Lepisosteus oculatus: one gene and its partner. The protein of the gene in region 2 interacts with the protein of the main gene of each other region in a pairwise test. Links are inferred from orthologs where the notes say so. Each region holds a gene or a part of one and is shown on either strand. Other genes may lie near its edges.

Region 1 (7,636 bases), on a different chromosome or scaffold from region 2:
TGGAAACCGGAGCCGAGTGCGACACAATGAAGTGAAGCGAACAAACTCTCTCAACAAGGAAAACACACGGAGCTCTTGTGTTCGCTGTACGCAGGCTTGGGAAAGAATTCTGCCGTTTAGCTTTTACAAAAACTGGATATAGCAATAGGAGGAACGCATAATGATCGTTTGCAAGGTTCAATAATGTACACAGTTTTCAGCTATTCATGCAAATGTATCCTAGAGTAAAGGAAATGATGCAAAGGAACAAGTAATAGGTTTATTCCATGCCGAAAAAAAGAAGAAAGAGAACAGAACGTTTCGGCCGAAACGTTGTGTTCTCTTTCTTCTTTTTTTCAGCATGGAATAAACCTATTACTTGTTCCTTTGCAGCCTACGCATGCTGACGCAGCTACCCACTGAAAGAAAATGATGTCCTGTTTTATGACTTTCAATAATCCCATACAGCTTCAGCCAACAACCTTGACTTGAGGTGTCCTGAATAAGAATTTAAGAATTGTCATGTAACTTATTTTCTTACTTTTCCATAAACAATGTGCACTTTGGTGAGATGTACATATTGTAAAATAATGTCCTTTTTTATTTAATATCTAATCAACTAAGAGAAGAGATCTGAGGTAATTCAGTATAGTTAAATGTTTTTTTAAATATTTTACTCATGTTTTGCTGCTCTGTACCCAGAAAAGGCTACTGTACTTCACTAACGGACTACAACCTCATTAACTGAACTGTCAATATACATGCCCTCTGGGATTTCTTTTATAAAAACAATCTTTCCATCTGGAAGAAGGGAACTCCCAAGATGACCAATTTCACAATCTCCTGTTCCATTTCGCTTCACATATGATGAAATCTAGATTCAGTAATGATTTCTCAGCTTGTGGTGTTCAGTGGTGCCGTCATTGGGTGTAAATATGTGAAAGGGACTGATCTAGTTTGTGAAAATAATGTTAATGCAAATACATTCAGATGAAATACAAGCTACTTTGTAGTTCATCTGGGTTGGGTAAACATGTACTGAGCTCACTGGACCAGAGAGGGTCCGAGACTACGTGTCCTGAGAAAAAAAAGAGAAAGATCTTATCAACAACAGTGATGTGCAAGAATAAGTGTTGTTATTCTACTACAAATAAAAGTAGGTTAAAAATGCATCAAACCTTTTGTGAAATATTTGGATACTTTTTGGGCACATCTGACTTTAAACACATTTACCCTCAGTTTCTCAGAGCATCAATATTTGTTCTTGAGGTACCCCAGTATGCTACCTCTTCTGATTAAAGGGTCCTCCTAAGTCAGTGGTACCTCCTGCAGGCCTAGGGGTCCAGAGCCCTTCGGGTCTGACAGATCTCTTTAGCTGGGAGATGCTCAATGTTACAATCAAATCAAGAATGAGTTCACACCTGTAGCTGAGAGCCGTTCCGAAATGAGTTTGCAGGCCAGGCCCACAGCTGTCCCCCAGTCTCACACCCCACACCCGAAAACAAGAGTCGCAGCTCTCTGCTCTCTATAGCAGAGTAGCCACAGCAGGCTGAGCAGGGCCCTGCATAGTAATGCAACTGAAACAGTTCAGTCGTCCTGCACAGTTCCTTTGGTCTGAGGCAGGAGTCGAGCAGATCAGCAGTTAAATTACTTTTAAACAACAAGCAGGATCCTTGAAACACAGGATGAGGCCTGTGGCCTGGATGTTGCTGGTTTGAACCCGGGACAGAACACTAGCGGAGCCTGACTGGGTTGGCCCATGATCTGACAGGGGGGCGTTTCCAACAGGTCCTCATTCATTACATTGACATCAGTACTATCAGCTCACACACAGCACAGCCTATGATAGGTGACAGGTCAGAGAGTTCCAAAGCCAGCCCCGTCCTTAAATGCTCCCAATCCCGAAATCTAAATTCCTCCAAGCCTGTCCTGGAAAGCCACTCTGCCAGCAAATCGGCATTGGTGCTGCCTCGCTAGCTCAAGGTCCAGGAGCCAGCGCCACAGAACCTTCTCCCTCACTGGGCACTGACGAGCCAGCGATCAGCAGGCCCTGAGCAGCACCCCAAACGCTGTGACCTTTCACATATGAACTCTGCCCTTTGCCTCCCCGCTGCAACTCTGAACACAGGCATGGCCATACACAAGGGTGACCAGACACCTGCTGCACCCAGACTCCGGGGTTTGCCCCAGCACCAGGTGGAGAAGCTGGTTCCCATTTCTTCACATGGGTGGAATGGCAGTAAAAACAGACATTTTGGCTCATCTGATCCATCATCACCAACTGATTCGGATCAGAAAGCCTCCTGGAACTAGATCTGTGTCTCTGTAGTCTTGCAGCCAGTACTGGAGTCCCCAGCACGAACTGCCTCTGGCATCTCCCCCTGGGATGGTTCAGATGATCTAGTGAAACAGCTCAGATCTCTGTGGGAGCTGGAAGGAAACTGAAGCACCTGGCCAACACTCAAGAACCTAAACAGAACATGCAAAGTCCACACAGACAGGCCCCAACAAACCAGAATCGAACCTGGGACACCGGAGCTGTAATCAGCAAGTTCCTGTGCCACGCCTTCAGCATCTGAAACAGACCGACCAGCTGGGCAAGGAGCTGTGCTGTAGCTATGCTGAAGGCAGGAACTGAAACTTCCTGTTCAAGATGCAAGAGTCTCTGTCTTCCTAGTCTCCGGAATAGGAAGCACAGCTGCCTGGAGCGCACACTGCACAGCCAGCGGCCCATCCTGTACAAAGCCCATCTCTCTGAACGTGCTGTCCCGCCTGGCTTCAGCAGTGCAGGGTACAAGCAGGACGGGACGGGACAGGAAGCCATCACAGGACCTACAGGCGCCCTTTCGAGAACGCTCCGCAAACTGGCGAGAAGGAAACGAAAACGGACACATCGCCCACGACCGGCATCCGTATAACGCGTAGGCCCGGCCGTCGGCACTTCCCGCAACCCAGCGGGCCCGTCCGCTGCGTCCGCCGGGGTTAAAGGTCGCCCCTCCCCCCGCGGCCATGTGCGCCTCGCGCTGAACTCTTTGTCTCCGAGTTCCATCCGGGTCGCAGCCGGGAGCCGCTGCGGAGCCCACGGCCACGACACGGAGTTCGTGCAACAGCTGTTGCTTCACTAACGTCACGTCAAGCACGGTCACCCGAACGCCTCTGGCATTTTCACAGTCCTACAGCTGAACGGGACACAGACACAGCTGCCCAGCCCTGTAGTTTAATGTAAAACACCGAGGCGGATCGGCGCTCTCCACTGCCCAGCGCCTAGGAGATGTGTCGCATCATACACTTCAAATGAGCACCCTGCAGACGAGTTATTTAAGTACCGACAGGCGCTGGGCACGCTGACAGCAGAGCTTATTCTCCATATTTTCAAACCAGCCTGATCCGTGCACGGGTGGACCGGCGCCTTATCGAGTAACGAGCCCATTACACACAAAGGCACAGAAACTCACCCTTCTCCGCCTGGTAGTCCTTAGGAGGCATAGCTGCTGGAACCCGACGCGAAGTCACGGGAACAGGCAAGAAGAAAATGGTTTAATTATACGTTGTGAAAATAGCGTGTCTTTCTCGAAGAGTCCAGCCGCGGGGCCACTCGGTACAGAACGGCTCACGGTCTCCCAAAGCCCTGCGAAAACTGGCGCCAGTCCGGCTCCCCGCTCAGCCAATCATCGCTCGGGAATCGAGTGACGTAGGCAGGGTTCGCGAGTGGCGCGAAAGCCTTGGAAGCTAGGTTGGCAGCCAATCAGAGAATCGGGAACCGCCTCTGGCGCGAAAAATGTTAAAAACAAAGCTGGAAGTGGGGGGGAAGATGGGGAAAAAAGAAGAGAAAAACGGGATAGAAATTATTATAAGAATGGAATAAATCCTTATAGCGAAAGTATATTTGTAAATTCTATTTTAAGTATTTAGGATATGATACATAGAACGGAACACAAAATGTACAGTTCATATAGATATATTTCTTCCACCCCCGTGCCATTGTACAAATATCCCAATGGACTCGTCCTTCACAGAACAGGCTTTTTGGCGCCAAACCTTTTTCCCCTTAGCCTGTAATCAGTGAATTAATGACAACTGCTGTCACAGGTGGACGAGTAGTCTGTGGACTCTCACATTGTAAATAACGCCGCTACGTGTTAATAAAGCACCCGTGTAACTAAAACAAGGCACTAAAAATTATACATTGTTGTTATATAAATAAGCCAGTTGAAAGTTAAGAGTAGTTTATTGCCATATGTACATGTACGTTGGAATTCTTAATCACGCTGATCTCTCGCGATATACACAGACAACACCACACAATGTAGACAACAGGGACAATAAATGTGTTGTGGCACTTTTGTTCTGTGTTAAACTACTCTATCAGTCGGCAGCACAGATCAATGATTTCTAAACTAAATTGAGTCTAACTGTAAAATCACACCCGAAGAAAAACAATCTTCGTGTTTTTGTGCTGTGTAACGCCTAACCGGATAACCCCCCACCACACAGCGCGCCGGATGGGAAGAGGGGAGGACGGTCAGCTGATACCTTCGAGTCCTCCCATTGGCTGAATGTATCCAATCACAGTGACGGCCGGTTAGCGATGGGCCAATGAGAAGCGGTCAGGCGTGTGTCTTACTGTGTTTTGGCAGATCGCCGGTTGTGTTCAGTTTCGGTACCCTGGCAGATTTTAGCTGTCTGCGGCACTGTGGTCACTCGAGAGTCGGCAGTTTGGAGGAGGCCTCCACAAGGTGTTAGGTATTACCGTTTGTCAGATCTTAAAATCTGTCCGGATAGATCTATATATATAGCTTTGTGTTGTTTCAGCGATGTTGATGCCATTATACCGCTATGTTTCATAACTGCAGTGTTAGAAAGCAGCGTGAAAGAAAAAGACAACATATTCAATCATTTGTAAAACCAGACTTGTTACACAGTCCTATAAATGTCTTTAGCGGTTCTAAACGCCTGCTCCGAGGACTCGCGTTGTTCTGCTATTAATTCGACGTGTGCTTGTTACAGCGGTATGATCTCCCAGGTGTTCATCTTGTCTGCCAAGGGGGATCACCTGATTTATAAAGACTGTATCCTTTTTGCGCCCTGGGCCAAACTCACTGTCAGTAACCAGGACCCCGCTCAGGGACCTGTCTGTCTCTCCCTGAATACCTCTCTCTGACCTGTCTGTCTCTCTGGGTTGTCCCTATCTCTCTGACCTGTCTGTCTCTCTGGGTCGTCTCTGTCTCGCCCTGAAGACCTCTTTCTGACCCGTCTGTCTCGCCCTGAAGACCTCTCTGACATGTCTGTCTCTCCCTGAAGACGTCTCTCTGACCTGTCTGTCTCTCTGGGTCGTGTCTGTCTCACCCTGAAGACCTCTCTCTGCACTTTCTTTACTTTGTGTTGTTTTGCTTACATTCCTGTTTGTGTCGGACAATTACTCCGCCCTGTATCTGCTTTGTGGAGCGCTCCTTTCCCCACGAGCTCGCTTGTGGAATACTGGTGTGTTCAGCAGTGTTAACTGGCTCCGTGGTCGCTTCGGTACCGCGGAGCGATGCCAGCCAAACCGCCCGCGACTGGCACTCCTTGACTGATGATGTCAGCAGTTCGCGGGGAGGCGGGGAGTGATGTCGTCGGCGTTTTCTACGAGAAGGTGACGGCGTTGCCTGGAGACCAGCCTCCCGTTGTCATGGTAGCAGTCCTCTGATTCTTATTGCTGTAATTGTCCAAGCGCGGTGCGTTTCTGCAGGTCCTCTCTGCCCACAGGGCCTAGACTGGGTGGTGGTCACGAGTGAGTGAGACTGGTATTAATCTTTCACTCGCCCGTGACCAGGCCCTTGTTCTCACGGCTCCCTTTCCCTCGGCCTCCTCTCCCGAAGTCGTTCCTCCTGTCCGTTTGTGGGCGTGGACCCGTTAGCTCATTGCCTGTGTGAGCTCAGGACACGCGTTCTCTCTCGAGCATGTGGGAGAGGTGATGAGTGTGTCCTGTCACCCGTTATCATCAGCTGAGTTTAGGGCTGGCTCCTGCTGCACACGGGCTGCTTATGCCTACGTTCTGGCAACACGATTGTTGTGGTCCCTTGTGGGTAACTAGTTAAATTTCAGTAATGATCTGCAAGCAGATTCCGGGAGTTTCTTTAATGGAGCACATTGCCTGATTAACTGATGCCTCCCTTCCAAGAGCTCCTGGTTTTTTTGAGGTTGACCTATAACACTGGAGTCCCATGGAAGAGTGATACAGGGTCTGGCTCCACCACTGGGGGGCGCTGTCTGATCTGTGTGAAGAGTGTGGCTCTGGTCCTACCCCCGACTTGACAGCAGCCTCAGGAGGCTCAGCCCCCCCAGCGATGTCACTGCTGACCCTCCTCTGAGCCACGGGGGCCCGGAGCTGTAGACTGCAGTGACTGCTGGTGTGCTTGGGGGTGCAGGACCATCAAGTAGGCGGAGCGGTGGCTCTGTGGCTAAGGATCTGGAAGGTTGCCGGTTCAAATCCCGCGGCCGGCAGAGGAATCCTACTCCATTGGGCCCCTGGGCAAGGCCCTTAACCCCAACTGCTCCAGGGGCGCCGTACAATGGCAGACCCTGCGCTCTGACCCCAAGCTTCTCTCCCTGTCTGTGTGTCTGTGTCTCCTTGGAGAAAAGCTGGGGTATGCGAAAAGAGGAATTCCTAATGCAAGAAATTGTATAGTGCTAATAAAGAAACACTATTATTATTATTATTATTATTATTATTATTATTATTATTATTATTATTATTATTATATAAGAAGAGAGACCCTGCCCCCATGTGCGTCTGTTTCTCTTCTAGAGTCACGAGGGGCTGCACTTCATTCACATCCGACAGGGGGGGCTCTACTTCGTGGCCACAACAACCGCCAACCTGTCGCCCTTCACTGTCATCGAGTTCCTGAACAGGTAATCTGTTCGTGTGTGTGTGTACAGAGACGGAGCAGTGATGGTGTGGGGGGGTGTGTGTGTGTACAGAGACGGAGCAGTGATGGTGTGTGGGGGTGTGTGTGTGTGTGTACAGAGACGGAGCAGTGATGGTGTGTGTGTGTGTGTACAGAGACGGAGCAGTGATGTGTGTGTGTGTGTGTGTGTACAGAGACGGAGCAGTGATGTGTGTGTGTGTGTGTACAGAGACGGAGCAGTGATGGTGTGTGTGTGTGTGTACAGAGACGGAGCAGTGATGGTGTGGGGTGTGTGTACAGAGACGGAGCAGTGATGGTGTGTGGGTGTGTGTACAGAGACGGAGCAGTGATGGTGTGTGTGTGTGTGTACAGAGACGGAGCAGTGATGGTGTGTGTGTGTGTACAGAGACGGAGCAGTGATGGTGTGGGGTGTGTGTGTGTGTACAGAGACGGAGCAGTGATGGTGTGGGGTGTGTGTGTGTGTACAGAGACGGAGCAGTGATGGTGTGGGGGGTGTGTGTGTGTGTACAGAGACGGAGCAGTGATGGTGTGTGGTGTGTGTGTGTGTGTACAGAGACGGAGCAGTGATGGTGTGGGGGGTGTGTGTGTGTGTACAGAGACGGAGCAGTGATGGTGTGGGGTGTGTGTGTGTGTACAGTACAGAGACGGAGCAGTGATGGTGTGGGGTGTGTGTGTGTGTACAGAAACGGAGCAGTGATGGTGTGGGGGTGTGTGTGTGTGTACAGAGACGGAGCAGTGATGGTGGG
Region 2 (7,368 bases):
TCAGAAGGCTGCTTAAAATGGTAAGCCTCAAAGCGTATGAACAGCGACTGGAAAAACTCATCCGATGCATTATAAAACCAATGAGCTGGACATACAGTATCTAGTGGCCTACAGTAATGTAGGAATAGGCTGCTTTGAGCACATCTGTGAATGGCTAGCACTTGTTTTAATTCAAACACTTGCATGCATGTTAGTCTTAGGCAAATGCTCTTTAGGCCATGTTGTGGATTAGTTTCAATCTCTGAAAAACATTGTAATTGCAAATGAAAGGCTTTTTGTGACTTTTCTTTTTATCTAACCATGTGCACAGTATACTAATCTCCATGCTGTCCTAACGTTCCATAATAATCACATCCCATGCTGTGATCTGCAATGCTCTCTTATAGTGTCTACCTTAGGACATTTTTTATTTCTCTTCCAGTTATCTGATATCCAGAACTACACAGTTTCATCCTTAATGGTATGCTATTATTTTGGTTATATTGTAACTGCTGCAGCAATTATTTCCTGCAATGTACAGAACCTGTACATATGGACTGGAAGTTTTGCTCAGTGTTTTTTAGATTTAGAAATGTTCCTTAGATTACTTTCCGAGTAATGGCAAGAGATGCAAAAAAAAAACATACAATGTTTCCTAAACTGTATTGCGTTTTTAAGTGTTAGTTAAATTTGTTGATTATTCAACATCTTCACAGGTACCACCACCACAGGTTATTGGTACTGCAGCTGTGCCCAACACTCAACAGTATAAGGTGGGTAAACATTAAAAATGCCATGCTACTTGACAGCAGTGAGCTGAACAACTTACAGCAGTGCACCATGCTGCCATCTCATGCTTTGGCTTCACCAAAGATCTACCTGAGAGAATTTCTTCTTCATCTCATCAAAAATACTCTGTCTGCAACTCCAAAACTTACCCTGTGGCAAGTGGAAAGAAAAACAAAACACTCTGTTGTTATGGAGCCAATTGGTTGTCCAGTTCATACTGCGGTCTGGACCTGTGTTCACTTGTACCTAATGGTTATGTCAAGGAAGGGGCTACAGCAGACTCAGCTGGACAGGGGGCCAGAATTACTGCAGTTTCCCTCAAACCAAGCTTTTACATTCGCATAAACCAATTCAGACAAATTTTCAGAATCACTCTCAAGAATAGTTTCGCACTACTTCACAGGAGATATCCAAATTCTAAAGAAACTGTCTACCAAAACATTATTTGGTAGACAGTTTCTTATTATTTCCAGTCTTGACGCCACTTTTCAGTTTTGCTTTAAGATTCAGCAGATTGTTTTTTAAAAAGTCTCCTTCGTTCCATCGAACATCCGATATGATTTATTCATCACGAGCTAGCAGACATAAGATAACTTTCCAAAACTATAGTTAGAGGCTCTAAAAAGCCCAACTTGTCAACACATCAAAGAGTATTATCGGATTAGAGGTATTTTTAACAACAGATAATAACACTGCGTGCTGATTCAAAGCTTCTGACACTGAGAAGCTGGTTCACCATAGAAAGTGAACTTGAAAAAGGAATTTTTCTTCCAAGTCTCCTCATTTTATAATTGTAAAGAACATATACATTTTCACAAAATATGAAAAGGTCTGGAACATCCCACGCTGCAATCTTCTCTCTAAAGAAGGAAAAAGTCCTTCTTCAGTTTAAAAAGACTAACAGCAGGTAAAATATTCATAGGTTTATACAGTAAAAACCCAGTTGGATTAATAAGGGGAAGGGGTGTCCATTATTGCAAAATGTCTGTTAATTTATCAAATAATATTTTTCAGCTCAAACATACCATGGGAAATACATACTTTATATACATTTTCTTGAACTTTTGCCATTTTTTAACAATTAAAATGATTGCAGTCAATGAAATCAATGAAAATAATTCACGTGTCTTTTCTTAAATATACAAGTTCTTTACTTCATGTGTCATAAATATACTTTATACAATTCACTAAAGCATACAAACACATCATAAGCAACTGACCTATACAGATATTCCTAAATTTTAAACTTATGTAACCCTTTATACATTGTTTTACTAGTTGTGCAATTCCCCTTAATTGTGTGGAAAGACCAATATTTCTGATTTTACAGACAAAATTCCCCTTTAGCAGATTTTGTTCATTAAATCCAACATCTATTAAACCTGAGGTTTACAGTACAGTTAGAAAAATTGCATTTAAAAAGCCTCTAAAACCTATGATTAATCCAGTGGTTATATATTGATCATTTATACATTTATTGAATTACAAATGTAATCTTGTAATATAAAAAGTTATATTTGTGACGTAAACATTCATGCATCTTCATGTATTCTTCAAATGTTCAGACTCCCTTATACTAAAGAATGTTTTTATAATATATTTAAATACATCAAAACAATCCCCAATTAAAATTAAAGTTTCCAAACAGAAAACAAAGGTAGTATTCTACAGCAATGCAGTATTTCTGTATCTACCCAACTGAAATATTTTCCCACAGCAGATAACATCACAGAAACTTCAAAGGTTGATAAAGAAGGTTAAATAGTGAAATTAAGAACAATAATAAAAAAATCTCCATCATAGTTGTGTAAACTAATATTAAAAATGTATCAGCTACACTAAAGTGATAAATAATCATTCGAGTATGTCGAATAATCAAATAATTCAGGATGTCAGCTTTCAGCAGCATTGAATATTAAGCAATATTAAGCAAACAGTAAAATATCTAAAGCGCAAACAATAAAATAAGATTGAGATATGCCTTTTTTAAGAAAAACAAATAAATGTCATTAACAGGTTTAATCAACTTCTGCATTCACCCCACAGGAATAAAAACAGTATACTACCTGGCTTGGAGATATTAACTGGAAACTCTTCTTTGGCTTTAAACCTGACATCAAATTTTGTAAAACTTTCAACATTAGCAATCTGGTATTATCTTCTTCCAGACTCCCACTGCTCAACAAGTTTATAATTAAGCAGTTCTGGGAAGGCAGAATCTTGGACAGGCTAGTGCATAGGCCTGCTGATAATATCAGTGTTTTGCTTGTAGTTTGTAAAAGATGTTTAAAACATCAAAATAATTCATCTTAACTGTTAATGCCTACATAGAGAATATAAATCTAATGAGACAACAAATCAAAGTGCTACACTTTTTAAATGACTAAATATAAAAACTATTTTGTGTTTTATCCTTTTCACCTTAAAACAAGAAAATGAAAGTTTATCACTTCCTTGTTTTACAGTATCTGTACTACTGTGAAGCACTTCCTGCCAAAAAGCCAATCCAGACTGACTTACTACTTTTTCTGCCAATCAGAAACACTCAGGGGAGAGCCTGTCAGCACTCAGATTAATATTATGTTCTCTAGAAAAGGAGTGCCAGAAGCTGCTTATCAAAAAAACATTACTTCCTGATACTTCCAGGTAACATACATTTTTGCACAAAAAAATACCAGCCTAAGAAAAAAACCTTACAAAATCAAGCATATAATATTAACTTAAATTTCAGTAAGAACAACATTAAAACTAATAATTTTGAAATCTTCATTGTTTTCATTTTTAAACATTCTTAAAAATCACACAGATCTTGTCACAAGCCCAGTTAGCTGGAATGTCACCACATTCATAAACTGAAAATCACTGCACAGCATGGATTTGTTTTGCATTCACTGTAAAGCTGAAAAACCCTGTGTGCATGGGCTTCAGAAGGGTAGAGACTGAAGCAATGCTCCTAATTTGTCTCAGGAAAACAGCATTGCAAGTGCCAACAGGACACTGTGTGCCATGGGTTTAGCAACACTGCAAACCCGTGATCTACTGTACAAGCAAGTCTACTATTCTCGTATGTGCAGATAAAATTAGGTAACAGATCTAAAACGGATTTATATCAGTAAACAATGTATTTATTTTAGAAGTAAGGCATTCCAGTACAATAAAGTCTCACTAATAAAACTGAAAACGTAATTAGCCTGCAACATTAATTTCTACAAATATTTCAATCAGGATAGTGTTTCATGTGAACTGTTGTATCGACCAGGACTGCTTTCTAGGACTAATTACAGAACTGACAAAAATATCCATACTGCCCAGCTGACTCACCCTTGAGTATAAGACTTCTGTCAAACATTTTAATTTGTGGTAGCAGGTGGCCATTCTCAGATTTTTATTTTAAACACTTACTAGTGTAAGAGTGCCCAGCAGTGTTCTGATAAAAATAAAGAATTGGGGCTTGTTTATGCTTGCAGTTGACAACTAGATCATCTCCAACAATATCTTCCTTACATTAACTTTACCTCTACAATATTTACGCAGAAAAGTATACAAATGAGAGAAGGTCTTTCAACCAATCTAGAGGAGCAATAAGTGGAACCACATAATACCATATTGCCCCTATATTTGGTCTATATTTGTAAATATTTTTTCTACCCAAAGTTTAGTCTATATCTTACAGAAAAAGCTGAGAGGTTGAATATTCAAAGGATTTGTGTTAAGAGGAAGAGAGCACTTTGTGAGCTGTGCAGTACTAGTGCCTTGTTATTAATCGGCTACCCTAGTGTGCTTATGTCCTCTGAAATTGCACTGTGCTTGGAGTCCTCATTGAAAACTGGCAAGAAAGAAAAGGATAATTAGTTATTCATTTTGTAGAAGGTAGTTCTTTAAGAATACATTGTACTAAAATGTGGATTTATCATTTTAGCTTGACATCTGAAGACCCATTTTTTTTCTTTGTATTGCAAAGTTGTAACTAGAAATGGATTTGTATAAAATTATAGCCTCCCCACCACTGTGCTTTTACAAATGGATCCTAAAATTTGAGTTTGAAATTCATACAATACAATGTATGAATACCTGAACGTCCACTCTAAACAGGAAGGATGAGCATTTACCACTTGTCACAGGCATTCGTTATATTTAAAAGTGTTCTTTCGCAAGTTTAAAATTTACATTTAGAGATTAATAAACTGAACTATTAAATACAATTATGAAAAATAAAGAAAATTCCAATGTCAATATCAGGTAACGCCAGTTACAGGGACCTTGCAAGAAATCAGGTTCTGGCAATTTAATTTAAACAAATACTTATTTTCATCTGGATAATTTATTAGAAGAGAACTACTAAGCAGTTAATACTGTTCTAAACACTGACGACATGAAGGCCCAAAGACTGTTTTGCTGAAAAAGTCCAGAAACGCTGAAGTTCCCAAAAATTAATTAGCACTGTTTAGCACTGCTGTCACTGTGGTCTAGTCTGCAAGTTTTAATGTAGTGTCCAGATTGCATAATGCTAGTAATAACTAACTTCCACTCCAAATTTTAACAGTAATACATCTGCCTATTTCTAAGCCTTGAAGACCCATTCCCTATACTTTCTGTTCTACTGTTAGCCGTCTGAAAAAAATATCACAAATATCCATCTTAGTGTCCCTCATGGTCATGAGTGATGACAAAAAAATAAACAGACTTTATGTAACTATGTCCTATCATAACACAGACAGCATTGTACTAAAAGTACTGTGTAAACAATAATAGTCGTGTTTTGTATTAAAAAAGAAACCCTGAAGGCTAAGACTACAAAGATTTTAACCTCAAAGTTTCAGGATTGCTCAAGTAGCTGGAATCTAAGAAGGCTATAATTTCATATTCTGTTTTGAAATCAACTTATAAAATCATTCCTTAGTGTTTAAGGGAGAAAAGCACAACATATCAGTCCAGAATTCGTACCTTTCTTGCAAAGGAATTCTAGCAATTGCATGGAAAGCAGTATTCTTGGAAATTTTATTAATGTTTCCAAATTTACGAAATTATTTGGTTCCCCATTTACGAAAGATCAATTTGTCAAAGTTATAGCAACTACTTAATTTTCAGAAACAGACACTGAATACCAAGAGAGGGGTTATAATATGGTTCAGCAAAGTGATTACAAAAGACAGAACAATGAGTCACTCTAGGTCTTTGCTCACTATTGGGCTGACTTGATTACAGTACCAAGCAGATTATAGGACTTAATATCATCTTGAAAACATGTCATTGAGAATAATTGAGAAAGCATCTCCATTTGCCTTACATTATGCTAATCATTGTCTTTCCCCAAGCTCCTTTCCAACTTCTATAAAAAAAATACATTTTAAAATAAGAAATAAATTGTATTTCAATATATTAAGATGAATAATCACTCCACTTAGTGCCATAGTTATCATAGTAACAATTCAATCTTAAGCTGTGACAGTTCAGTGTATAAAATGTAAGGTAAGCCACCTAGGATAAAAGCATCTTTTAAATATCATACCTTAGAGCACTGCATACCCACATTCTGAACTGTGTCTTGTCCAGTCAAATGCAATTTACCAAACATGATAAGAGTTTTTATGTTTAAATCTGTAACACTGAAAAAGAAGCATTTATATTGATATTGCATTTAATAACATAAGGCGACCAATTTAAAACTAAGAAAAATTTACACCAATACAAGGTCAGCATGATTTATGGTGAACAAAAACAAAACAATTTTGTTCACCAAAAACGTGGGACAGTAATATTAGGAAATGTTTCTACATATTCTATTCTATAGTCCTGTAGCCTACGTCACTATGTATGGTGGTTTTAGATTCACCTTTTGCAATATTTTCAGCAATACATACTACAAATACATTGTACTTATTTTTTCATTTGAAATGCTTTTACATCTTTTGATTACATATTTCAGCTGACCAGTTTATGTTATATTTACTGCTGTGTATCTTTTAGCATACTTTAATTATACTACACAGCACTACATTAATTAACTATTTTATGAGGATCATAAACAGTTGGCTTATACAGTTGCACAGGAATAAATTACAATTAATATGGTCACACTGCATTCTATTACTTTGTAAATAGAATTATCTGAAATACAGTACAGAATATTCCATATTCTATTCTTCTGCTGAAGGTAATGTTCTAAAGACAGCAAACATTGAATAATGGTTCCTATGATTTACAAACACATCATAACTATTACAGTGAAAGCTTATATTTTGAATTCTTAAAATTCAGTTCTTTCTAATGGGTTACATCTTAGCCCTCATTTCATTGCATTCAACGAATATTCTTTAAGACAGAAAAGTTGCTTCATAAAGTATATCTCACATACAATGAAATGTATTTGAGATACACTACTACAGGCATTGCTTGTTTGGTGTGCCTTCAAAAGCAAAAGTGGAACATGGTGTACTGTTTTTGTACTTGTTTTTTTGTTTTATAAACAGGTTACATTTTAAACCTTTAGTTGCTAGTATAAAGAAAAACAACTACAGACTCCATCTGCTGAGTCAGGCTGTACAAGTTGTGAAAATGATATAACTTTCCAATAAAAACAGTGACACCCTGTAGCACAAA

What was found.
Region 1: the proteins of usp47 (region 2) and ap4m1 interact in binary tests that used the Homo sapiens proteins (3 or more experiments, as listed by UniProt). The two-hybrid records come from large-scale screens. The link is inferred for Lepisosteus oculatus from reciprocal best matches to the Homo sapiens genes USP47 and AP4M1.

The regions. Positions count from the first base shown.
Region 1 is NC_090698.1:12,408,231-12,415,866, reverse strand, and holds the start of ap4m1 (AP-4 complex subunit mu-1), read left to right. Parts: upstream 1-4,592; 5' UTR 4,593-4,722; intron 4,723-4,986; 5' UTR 4,987-4,990; coding exon 4,991-5,048; intron 5,049-5,561; coding exon 5,562-5,650; intron 5,651-6,766; coding exon 6,767-6,873; intron 6,874-7,636. UniProt on the Homo sapiens protein: Component of the adaptor protein complex 4 (AP-4). Adaptor protein complexes are vesicle coat components involved both in vesicle formation and cargo selection. They control the vesicular transport of proteins in different trafficking pathways.
Region 2 is NC_090716.1:8,616,434-8,623,801, reverse strand, and holds the start of usp47 (ubiquitin carboxyl-terminal hydrolase 47), read right to left. Parts: upstream 3,098-7,368; 5' UTR 2,910-3,097; coding exon 2,835-2,909; intron 919-2,834; coding exon 859-918; exon of another isoform or gene 830-858; coding exon of another isoform or gene 809-829; intron 1-808. UniProt on the Homo sapiens protein: Ubiquitin-specific protease that specifically deubiquitinates monoubiquitinated DNA polymerase beta (POLB), stabilizing POLB thereby playing a role in base-excision repair (BER). Acts as a regulator of cell growth and genome integrity.